Cricetulus griseus: one gene and its partners. Each later gene encodes a partner of the first gene's protein in a complex. Links are inferred from orthologs where the notes say so. Each region holds a gene or a part of one and is shown on either strand. Other genes may lie near its edges. The genes, in order: Dlg4, protein shisa-6 and Htr2c.

What was found.
Region 2: Dlg4 (region 1) and protein shisa-6 share a complex: the UniProt entries of both Homo sapiens proteins name them as parts of the postsynaptic hippocampal AMPA-type glutamate receptor (AMPAR) complex. The link is inferred for Cricetulus griseus from reciprocal best matches to the Homo sapiens genes DLG4 and SHISA6.
Region 3: the proteins of Dlg4 (region 1) and Htr2c are in contact, whole or in part, in an NMR structure (PDB 2MHO), measured with the Rattus norvegicus proteins. The link is inferred for Cricetulus griseus from reciprocal best matches to the Homo sapiens genes DLG4 and HTR2C. Residues at the interface, in NP_062567.1 of Rattus norvegicus: Gly74, Leu75, Phe77, Ser78, Ile79, Ala80, Asn85, Pro86, His87, Ile88, Thr97, Lys98, His130, Val134, Leu137, Lys138; in NP_036897.2 of Rattus norvegicus: Val452, Val453, Ser454, Glu455, Arg456, Ile457, Ser459, Val460.

What each region holds. Positions count from the first base shown.
Region 1 is NC_048600.1:83,879,036-83,882,683, forward strand, and holds part of Dlg4 (disks large homolog 4), read left to right. Parts: intron 1-114; coding exon 115-284; intron 285-399; coding exon 400-536; intron 537-647; coding exon 648-792; intron 793-3,648. UniProt on the Homo sapiens protein: Postsynaptic scaffolding protein that plays a critical role in synaptogenesis and synaptic plasticity by providing a platform for the postsynaptic clustering of crucial synaptic proteins.
Region 2 is NC_048600.1:80,430,186-80,434,360, reverse strand, and holds the start of protein shisa-6, read left to right. Parts: upstream 1-1,255; coding exon 1,256-1,899; intron 1,900-4,175. UniProt on the Homo sapiens protein: Involved in maintenance of high-frequency synaptic transmission at hippocampal CA3-CA1 synapses.
Region 3 is NC_048604.1:34,136,651-34,140,141, forward strand, and holds the end of Htr2c (5-hydroxytryptamine receptor 2C), read right to left. Parts: intron 1,425-3,491; coding exon 595-1,424; downstream 1-594. UniProt on the Homo sapiens protein: G-protein coupled receptor for 5-hydroxytryptamine (serotonin).

The DNA of each region.
Region 1 (3,648 bases):
AGAAAGAAAGAAAGAAAGAAAGAAAGAAAGAAAGAAAGGAAGAAAGCTAGTACCTGGAAAGGGAGGGCTGGGCAGTAGGAAACTCCTGGCTTAGACCTGTATTATTGTTCCCAGGGTCAATGACAGCATCCTTTTTGTGAATGAAGTGGATGTTCGGGAGGTGACCCATTCAGCTGCGGTAGAGGCCCTCAAAGAAGCAGGTTCCATCGTTCGTCTCTATGTCATGCGCCGGAAACCCCCAGCTGAGAAGGTCATGGAGATCAAGCTCATCAAAGGGCCTAAAGGTAGTGGTAACCCCATGTTAGCTCCCCTCCCCTCCTCACCATCCTGCTTCTCCCTGCCTCCAAGGCTTGCTCCCTGGGCCAATAGGCAGCCACTTCTCCCCTCCCTGCCATCCAGGACTTGGCTTCAGCATCGCAGGGGGTGTAGGGAACCAGCACATCCCTGGAGATAATAGCATCTACGTAACAAAGATCATCGAAGGAGGTGCTGCCCACAAGGATGGCAGGTTGCAGATTGGAGACAAGATCCTGGCGGTGAGGCCCTGAACTGTGTTTCTAGTAGAGACTCGGGTCTTATTGCAGGCCTGGGTGCCTCACTGCCTGACCATTTCTGGCTCTGTCTGAGCTTTGCTTCCCTTGACCCAGGTCAACAGTGTGGGGCTAGAGGACGTCATGCACGAGGACGCCGTGGCAGCCCTGAAGAACACATATGATGTTGTCTACCTAAAGGTGGCCAAGCCCAGCAATGCCTACCTGAGTGACAGCTATGCTCCCCCAGACATCACAACCTGTGAGAGCCCTCCAAATCTCAAAGCTCCTCATGATGCATCCTAATAGTTCCTAAGACATGCAGTCCCACGACAGCCCCTGTGGCCTATTTCTATGAAATGGCCATGACCTCTGATCCTTGTGGTGGTTGGAGAGGAGATGGAAAATCAACTATGGAGAAGGACTAAAAACGATTGTTGAGATCCTCTTGTCCAAGGGACACAAGGCCCACTTGGTTTTGTGGTTCTGATCAAATCCTTAAGTAACAGATAATTCTCACATTCTTTAAAAATTTAGGAAAAGAACCAGGCATGATGGTGCCTGCCTTTAATCCCAGTACTCAGGAGGCCGAGGCAGGTGGATCTCTGTGAGTTTGAGGCCAGCCTGGTATACAGAGCAAGTACCAGGACAGCCAGGACTACACACAAAAGCCCTGTTTGGATGCCCCCAAACACAACACAACACAACACAACACACACACACACACACACACACACACACACAGAGAGAAAAGAACCAGGTGTGATGGGACATACCTGCTTTTCCAGTACTTGGGAAATAGAGGCAGGAGTGGCAGGAGTTCAAGGCTATCCTGGGCTGCATAGCAAGGTAGCAAGTTTGAGGTCAGCCTGGGATACTTGAAACTGAGAGAAAGGGAGAAAGACAAAGGCTTCGTATTGCATGTTATAAGAGCAGTTCACATGGTCACAAAGATAACACAGAAGGAACAGAGAGGGCAGCTGTATGCCCAAATAGAGAGGCCTAAGTTTAGAACACCACAGTGGGTGTCCACACAAAGCAGTGGGACATTAAGAGGCTAACATCACAGAATAAGGTTTGTTTCAGAAAACCATAGTTGGCTCAATATTAGGAACCTTTTTATTCAATATATTAAAACTGCCAGGTGGTGGTGGTGCACGCCTTTAATCCCAGCACTTGGGAGGCCGAGGCAGGCGGGCCTCAGTGAGTTTAAGGCCAGCCTGGTCTATATAGAGTGAGTTCCAGGATGGTCAAGGCTACACAGGGAAACCCTGTCTCAAAAAATAAAAACAACAAGTAGGAAAGATGGGGATGGTGGCCCACACCTATAATCCCAGCATTCTGGGGCCAGGAGCAGGAGGATTGGAAATTCTGGGGCATCCTGGGCTACATAGTGAGATGAGACCCTATGGAAGGAAAGAAAGTTAGAAAATCAAGGATAGATATGAAAATCCATTGATGATACTAAACATCTGTCCTCAAACCAACCTTTAGTAAACCCAGGAGTAGAGTTTGTGTGACCTGGGGAGTAGTTACTAGCAACCAGCAGCAGATGCTTCATATTAGTAAATCCCAGCGATGTGTCCACCCCTCTAGGAGTTAGACAAGGCTACCTCTTAACTGCTGTTCCTCTTCATCGCTTTCAGCAGTTTCTCCATGTTGTGCCGCTATTACTTATCAACGGGAAACTCAGTTCTGGAATTTCCAGTAATTAAGAAAGTCACTGGCTGGCCTCGGGAGGCAGAGGCAGAGGCAGGTGGATCTCTGTGAGTTCAATACCAGCCTGGTCTACAAGAGCTAGTTCCAGGACAGCCTCCAAAGCCACAGAGAAACCCTGTCTCGAAAAGAAAAAGAAAATCACTTATTTTATCTTGCAAAGTAAGAAAGAAAGAAAGAAAGAACTCCTCAGAGGGCTCCATTTCCTTCCTTGCTCTTTTAAAGACAGGGTCTTTATATGTAGCCCCAGCTATTCCTTATGGAGGCAAGGCTGGCTTTGAACTTGTGGTAATTCACTGGTCTCATCCTCCTCAATATTGGGGTTACAGATGTGTGTCACCATACTTGGCTTTAGAATTTTTATTTATAGGTATCTTTTTGTTGTTGTTTTTTCAAGACAAGTTACTCTGTAGACCAGGCTGGCTTTGAGCTCAGAGATCTCCTTGCCTCTGCCTCCTAAGTACTGGGATTAAAGATGGGTACCATCATGCCTGGCCCCATTATACTAAATCTTTTTTAAAAAATTAGAGGGGGAAATCAGTTTATTTATTCATTTGTGTGTATTTGTGTGAGTATGGGTATGCTGTGGTGTGTGTATGTGTAGGTCAAAGGACAACGTGTGGAAGCCTGTTCTCTCCTTCTACCATGTAGGTTCTGGGGTTTAAACACAGGGTATCAAACATAGCAAGTATCTTTACCTGTCCAGCTATCTCACCCCCCCCCCCCCCCCCCGTCTTTTTTGAGGCAAGGTGGTGCTGGGATTTCAGGCCTATGCTGCCATGTCCAGCCAAGCTTCTTTCCTTCCTTTCTCTTCCTCCTCTTTCTTCTTTTTTTTTTTCTTTGTGGTACTGGGGCTTTAACCTTAGCCCTTGAACATGCTAAGCAGCTGTCTGTAACAGCTATATCCTGCCCCAGCTATGCTACAAATTCTTGTTATTGTACATGTCGGGTCTTGAACTAGTACTGTTGCCTCAGCTAAGGAGTGCTGGGATTACAGGAGTGAAGCATTACACTTGGTGTGGTCACATTATTATTTTTCTTTTTCTTTTCTGTTTTGAAACAATCACTGTGTAGCCCTGGCTGGCTTGGACCTCACAGAGATCCACTTGCCTCTGCCTAAGGGCTGGAATTAAAGGTGTGAGCCACCATGTCTGGCTATATTCTTAACCACCCCCCCCAAATTTTTTCCTTTCCTTTTTTTTAAAAATTTTTTTTGTTTGTTTGTTTTTTGTTTTTTGAGACAAGGTTTCTTAGTGTAATAGCCCTGGCTGTCCTGGAACTCGCTCTGTAGATCAGGCTGGCCTCAAATGCAGCGATCTGCCTGCCTCTGCCTCCTGAGTGCTGGGAGTAAAGGCATGTGCTATTAACCTCTCATTTTTTAAAAAAATATTTTTTATTAATT
Region 2 (4,175 bases), about 3.4 Mb from region 1:
CATGCGAGATGAAGGAGAAAAGAACCTAGGTTCAGGGCACTTGGTGGCCCAAGAGCCACTTGACCCCTGGCCTCAGTGTAGGAACCTGTAGCAATGGGTTTGACCTTTTATCTTGCCTACGAGCATCACCACTAGGGAGAGGCAGAGGCTTGCAGAAACCCCAACTTGCTGTCTAGCAGCGCAAAGACCAGGCTAAGGTAAGGGGAGGGGGGCGGGTGGTACTTGACCAGGAGGGCTGGAAGGGCAATGTCAGAGGACATCTGACCCTACCACCGGCCGGCTCCAGAGAGCTCACTCTGGTCTTGCTTTGGGGTATTAGAAGTGGGTAGCAGGGGGAGCTCCCTTTCTGCCAGCTCAGTGCACGGTGTTGGTTCGGGCTTTGGTAATGCCGAGCTTCGAGAGAGGGGGGAAGAGGCAAAGAGGAGTCCTGCCGTCCCCCACCCGGGCGCCCAGGCGTGGAAACGTGGGCGGCGGCGAGCGGCTGGCCTCCCTCCCCGCCCTCCCCGCGCGGCGCTCCCGCGTGTGCTGCTGTGTGAGTGCGTGTGTCTCCCTCTCGCCTATCGCACACGCTCCGGCACTAGTGCAGGCGGCTCCCGGATCCGCTCGGCTCGCTGGTTCGTTCGCTCGCTCGCTCCGGCCGCTGCGCTCCCGCCTAGCCGCCGCTGCAGTCGCAGCTGGGCACGGTGAGTGACTGAGGTGTAGCCGCCGCGCTCCCCGACTGCCCTTCGGACCCCAGCCTCAGCAGGCTGCACCGCACGGGCTCTCCGTGCACCCTCGGGCCACCGTCCCAGCCAGGACGCACTCCTCGAGGGCTGCGCACTCCTTCCCCGCTCGGCTACCCGCCGCTCCCTGCACCCCGTGACCGCTGCCCCGTTTCGTCCCGCAGGACCTGCCCGGACGGGACCACGCCGCGCCGCCGCCGCCACCTCCGGAAACTGCGCTTCGGGGCCGGCCTGAACTGAGCCGCGCGGGGGCCGCCGCTGCCGCGGGCGGGGATGGGCTGTCCGCCAGGCGCGCGGAACCCGCAGGGGGAGCGCGGAGCCGGCGCGCAGCCTGAGAGCCCCGCGCAGCCTGCGCCCCGCTGCTCCGTGCGCTCCCGCCGCCACCCGCGCCTCGATGGCGCCATCGCCCCGCCGCTGACCGGCCCGCGTCGCTCGCCCAGCCAGCCCGCGCGGCCGCCCTCGGAGTCCCGCCAGCCGCTGGGGCAGCGGCCTGCAGCCCGCGTCCCGCCCGCGCCCTCCCGCCCGGCCCCGCCATGGCGCTGCGCGCCTCCTGCTACCGCCCTCTGCTGCTGTCGCTGCTGCTGTCGCTCTCGTCCCTGCACCTGCGCCCGGCGCAGCCGCCGCCGCGCGCCGCGCCGCTAACCGACCCTAGGCGCGGAGCCGTCGGGGGTCGGCGTTCCGGAGGCGCCCTAGCCCGCGGCGGCCGCGAGCTGAACAGCACCGCCCGGGCGTCCGGCGTCCCGGAGGCGGGCAGCCGGCGGGACAGTCCGCGCAGCGCGGCGGCAGCGGCGGCCAGCGCGACCGTCACTTATGAGACGTGCTGGGGCTACTACGACGTGAGCGGCCAGTACGACAAGGAGTTCGAGTGTAACAATAGCGAGAGCGGCTACCTGTACTGCTGCGGCACCTGCTACTACCGCTTCTGCTGCAAGAAGCGCCACGAGAAGCTGGACCAGCGCCAGTGTACCAACTACCAAAGCCCAGTATGGGTGCAGACGCCCAGCACCAAGGTGGTGTCGCCGGGGCCCGAGAACAAGTACGACCCGGAGAAGGACAAGACCAACTTCACCGTCTACATCACCTGCGGGGTGATCGCCTTCGTCATCGTAGCGGGCGTCTTCGCCAAGGTCTCCTATGACAAGGCCCACCGCCCGCCGCGAGAGATGAACATCCACAGGTGAGAGGCGATGCTGGGTGCCTGCCTCGGGTCCCCAGGCCTCACCCCCTCTTAACACACACCACCCCTAGTCCTCTTCATGCACACCTCTTCTATTCTTCTAAGTCACTTCCAGAGTCGCTTCCTCTAAGAGCAATAAATCTTGTGGCTCTCCCGCATTCCGTAGGAAGCTGCTAGGCATGCTCTAGCTTGAGAGGGATTTGCAAGACAAAAGTCTGAATCAATGGAGTTCGTGGTGTTCAAGGATAAGAATTTAACCAATTTTCCAATCTCCGGGCTCTCCTTTTCATGGTGTGTGGCCACTTTACTATGGGTTGTACCACGCTTAGGTCTTTGTTTGTTTGTTTGAGCTGGAGTGCCACCTTAATATAAAGAACCGAGCAGTGTGAGCACCTCACTGAAAGGAAGATCATGTGCGTGACTGTAAGCCTAGATGTTCCCAGGGATTAAGAGCGGGATGATATGGAAAGGGTAGCTGGCTCTCCTGGGAAGAAGGATCCCCATGTCGTGTTGATCAATGGCAGATGGTATATATGTCTCCCAATGGAGTGCTTATCTTTCCTGCTAAGGCTAGAGGACTTGGTCCTCCAAGGCAGGCCTCTCTGAGTTAACACTTTGGATGGTGTTCAGCCCAGTCGGGCATCTTTTACTGCACACATGATAAAGACAGTGGGGACTGTCCCCTTTCAAAATTTATAACAGGAGTTTAAAACATGACACTCCACAGTTCCACTCCAATTGCCTCCCACCCCTGTCTCTGCCTCCCAGGGAGATCACTGGAAAGTCAAAGCCACAACAGGAACCCAGTCTCTCCTTTAGGAATTGTACAGGCAGAGGATGCGAAGTCAGCTATGATGAGTCCAGTGTCCCCATGAAGATGAATGGTTGGCTTCAATGAAAGCCCAGCCCCAGGAAACACTTCCATTTCTGGCACACAGAGTGGGCACTGCCCTAGTTCCCAGGCCCAGCCCCCAGTCTACTGCTTGTGAGTTGACCCACCAAGCCTTGCCTGGCTCATACACCTTGCTTATTATCCTCATGGCTTGAAAACCTCCTCCCTTCACTGCTCTGAACATTAATCACTCCTACCTTGCTGAAAAGAGGAAGGCAGGTAGAAATTTCTAGGCATGCTGGAGGAGCTCAGTCTGCCCTCCCCCTCAATAATGTGGGTGTGAGAAGATGATATTCCCTGTCAGGTTTTATTGACTCAAATCCACTAAATACAGGCATTTCACACTCAACTACTAGACTTCGGTTGACTATAGAGGGAGCATCCCCTTTTAACCCCTCATTCCCCGAGCTAGCCACTCTTCTTTAGCTGCTCTCGGCATAGGCTTACTCAGCATCCCCATGGACTTGAGCTAGGAATATGAGCAATGGCCTGTGGTCTCCATGCCTCACTATGCAGATGATGGGCACCATGAGCAAGATAAGAACAAGATGCTACCACTTCCAAGGGGTTCATTTGATTTGACAGTGAATTCTCTCTTGGCTCAGCTTGGAACTCAAAGAAGGAATTGCTCAGGGGCAGGTGCCTTTTTGAAGCAGATGATCTGTTGTTCCTCATCTATCACCTCTGACCCAGGACTCAGGGGCTCATCTCCTCTTGCCTCATCAAACCCACCCTGGCTCTTAACCTCTTTCTAGTTGATTCTCACAAACCTTTCTTGGGGGTTCTCCCTGTCCTGCTCCCAGTGCCTTGTGCAGTTTGTTCAACATCACCTGTGTTTGATAAGGTTGTGGCCTCAGAGTCTGAGATTGAGTCCCCTTGGAAACCAACATTGTCATGTTGCTCGGGGAAGCCACTGTTCTTGATATTAATCTCTTTTTCCCCACAGACTGCCTCTGTCCAACATTGGGGTAACCATGGTGGCACTGTTGGGGCCGTTTCTGGAGTGGGAGAAGGAGAGAGTGAACAGTGGGGAAAGAACTGAATTTCAGGCCCCAGACCATTATGTAAATAGGTGATGTCTCTCCCTCAAATTCACCTCCTGATTTCATTCAGTTCACAGCACCTCTCCAGCAGCTGCAGCCTTGCCTGATCAGTGCTTTGGAAACCATCACACTGGTACTGGGTGGGTAGGGGACAATGCCTATCACTGGAAGTGTAGTGGGTGGGAAGGATGAGCTGGAGATGAGAGATGAGTGACATTCACAGTGATGAGTGACACTTAAGGACACTCAAGAGTAACCTTGAGCACATCAGGGAAAGTCTTTTTCAGCTCTGGGTAACTGGCAAGATGGCATATCACCTAGACCTCTTCCTTCCAAGTGTG
Region 3 (3,491 bases), on another chromosome or scaffold:
ACAATGTCAAATTTTCCCCGATGTGTGACGACAAAGTTAAATTCTGTCTCTGACTCACTGATGGATGTTTTTTCACAATGGGCAGAACCTATCTTACTGTATTTATATGTGTAGATGAGCAGAGCGAGAATTTAAAGCACATATTTACTGTTAACCTGGAAAAGATGCCACTGAATCTGTCAATTTAGGTGTGGTTTGAAGTATCACCACAGTCATGTGCATCATTCTGGTCTCCTGCAAATGCCACCTGAGATGAACATCAACATTTCCACATTCACAAACGAAACAGAGATAGGGAGGAAGAAAGCAAAGAAGGAGCAAGGAGGGGATGGAATAAGGAAGGACGGGAGAGAGAAACAAACACTATTATTCAGCAAGGAATCAAAATAACTTAGTCTCCATCTATCATAAACAGTAAATATAGAACTTCAAATCTCACTGTTAGCGCATGATTTTAAAGTACAGGTTTGCAAAGCTATTTTATAAAAACACTGTTTTGTCACACAGCAGTATTTACATTAGTTATGATCCATAGGGAAAATCAAGGGGGGAATCTTTCCTACAAGAGCTTTCCTGTAGGAAGGCTGCTCTTGCTTACACACTACTAATCCTCTCGCTGACCACATTGGAGGGATCGACTGGCAGCTCTAAATTCTCCACCTGCATCTCTATGCCAGGCTCAGGGTCATTAGCTTTCTTAGCCACACGTTCATTGGTATGCCGATAAACATTAACATTGAGCTCCCTCCCAGACAAAGCAGTGGCAGCAACCCTAGGAATTGGTCGGATAGGAGGCTTTTTGTCTGGCTTATAATCGCAGCGCAAATATTTAGAGAAAGCCCTTCGGTACACTTTGTTGAAGAGAGTGTACACCAGAGGATTGATGCCTGAACACACATAGCCAATCCAAACAAACACATTGAGAAGCTTCTCCATCAGCTTGTGGTTACAGGACTTCTCGCAAAGAACAGACAGGATATTAGTGATGAAAAACGGGCACCACATGATCAGAAAAACAAAGAATACAATGCCAAGGACTTTGGAAGCTTTCTTCTCGTTGTTGATAGCTTGCATGGTGCCTCGAGGACGCTTTTCTTTCTTCTTTCGACGCGGCTTCTGATCTGGATTGGGATTCTCAGTGTTCTCTTCATCACCAGCGTTCTTCTTGCAGCAGCACTTCAGGAAGTTCAGGCTGATTTTAGGCAGGTCCTCTATGGTGTGGCCTCGAAGTAGCATCAGAGTTTGACGGCGTAGGACGTAAATCGTTAGAAAGTAGGTGATCACCATAATCGTCAACGGGATGAAGAATGCCACGAAGGACCCGATGAGAACGAAGTTCGGGTCGTTGAGCACGCAGGTGGTGTTGTTCACGAACACTTTGCTTTCGTCCCTCAGTCCAATCACAGGGATAGGAACTGAAACACCTAGGGAAACAAAAAGGTGAGAAGTCGTTACAGCATGCGTAATGATTGGGCAGGTTTGTACAGTAGCACAGTCATTCATTAGCATTTTACCAAAAGGCATTTAGACATGATGTTTGTTGAAAGCTATTCACGGCATACCAGGAAGCTCATAGAACTTCCAACAGAAGATGATGGCTTTCCATGAATTGCTGTAGCAGTGTAGAATCTCCATGTTTGAGACAAACTATTGGAGATTATGTCTAGGAGTGCTCTGATTCCATTTTGTTCCATGTGCAGTGCCCAGAACTGTCCTGGCTCGTGCAAAGTGCTTAATAACTATTTATTAAGCCACGAAGTAGCTTCACATTTGTCCTCAGTAATATCATTAAGTCCAGTCATTGATTTTTTTTAGTATACTGTTACTCAAGTGCAGTAACAATTGTAGTACACCATCTACAATAGCCTGGGAGGGATGAATGGATTGTATTTCACCATTGTGCAAAAACTAACCTGTGAACAGAAGCAAGTAATTCATTTTTCTTTTTGGCAAGGGTGTGTGTGTGTGTGTGTGTGTGTGTGTGTGTGTGTGTGTGTGTGTGTACATGTGTATGTATTTGTGTGCTTGAGCATCAGCAACATGGTTTCAAGGTCAAGAAACAGAATGAGGCTGACGATGTATCTTCAAGGTATTACAGTGGGGAAGGAGGAAGAAAGGGAAAGAGGATGGTGGGAGCGAAGGAGGAAGGGGGAGGGAGAGGCGGGAGACAGATAGAGACAGAGAGACAGAATTTTTTTACTCCTATGGGTATTGACAAGTGATCAGCCCTAAAAATAAATTGGATTCGGGGCAGGAAATATCAGCAGAAAGGCAAGGGGCAGACTGTGATCTTATGCTGAAACCTTCTGAGAACTGTAAGAACTCACTATGGTAGACCATAAAGATATTCTTCCCTCAACACATAGGGACAATTTGCCAAGGGAATTTTCATATTCATTTTTCCTCTCTGCATCAAGAAGTTAAAGCCTTGGCAAACTCAGATTGTGTCTGTGAGAGTCTATCATAGGCTAGTGGCATTATGGGCTGCTGGATATCTGCATTGCAAAACGGGAGAGGAAGTATAAGTGCTCCCTCAAAGATGGTAGTTAACTGGTGAGCACATTAGGAACTATGAGGAACTTAATACCTCAAGGCCATACTAATTGACATAAGTACTGCTTGTCAGCTGCAATGTATTAGACTGAATGATCAAAAAAGAAAAACACAAATAACATTGATTAGTATTTAATCTCTTGGAAGATAAGAAAGGGAGTGTTTGGAAGATGTTAAGTATTTTCTTCAGACATTGAATTTCTGGTATGTGTGAGGTGGAAGTAGTGAGGGGTATATAAAGTTGGAGACACCTTTTAAACTACACTTTTTCAAACAAAAATTTGGGCTTGGGTAGAAACACTCAGGTCTTTGCTATGGTCCCAGGGAAGAAGGTCATTTTATGAGAAAAATCTGAAAGAAAATTTGTACATCTTCCCAGAAGCTTTTAGTAAGAGCATCAGAGGGTGCAAGTAAAGTAGTCCCTCTCCAGTCCCTGCCTCATCTGCTGCCCAGAACTTCAGGGGCGAGATCTTGAGGCTGGAGACTCCTCTGAGAAGTTTGTTATCCTTCTACAGGCATGGCTATAAAGAATACCTGGACATGAAGCTCCAACTTGTCACTGAAATGCTTGTGTAATCTTTGAGACCTTCTGAGAGTCACCTGAAGTGCCTAGCAAGGCATCGTACACTGGCTACAAGATCGGTGCACATTAGCATCTTTCAGAGCCCAGCTCTGGAGAACTGTGAACTTAGGTTAACAGATTTTTCTCCTTCCTAAGGAATCTAAGGAAAGCCAAGTCAAGAGACAATAGGGGGCTGGGGCAATGACAACTATGATGTATTTGAGTCTATGAGGCCAATTGTTTCCCCCTCTCTGTGTTTGTGTCCTGCATGCCATAGAATGCCTATGTTAAGACAGCGATTTTCCAGAACTGAACATGGGTCATCAGGCTAAGAGAAAGGGGTGTTTACCTCCTGAGCCATCATCTCACCAGCCCC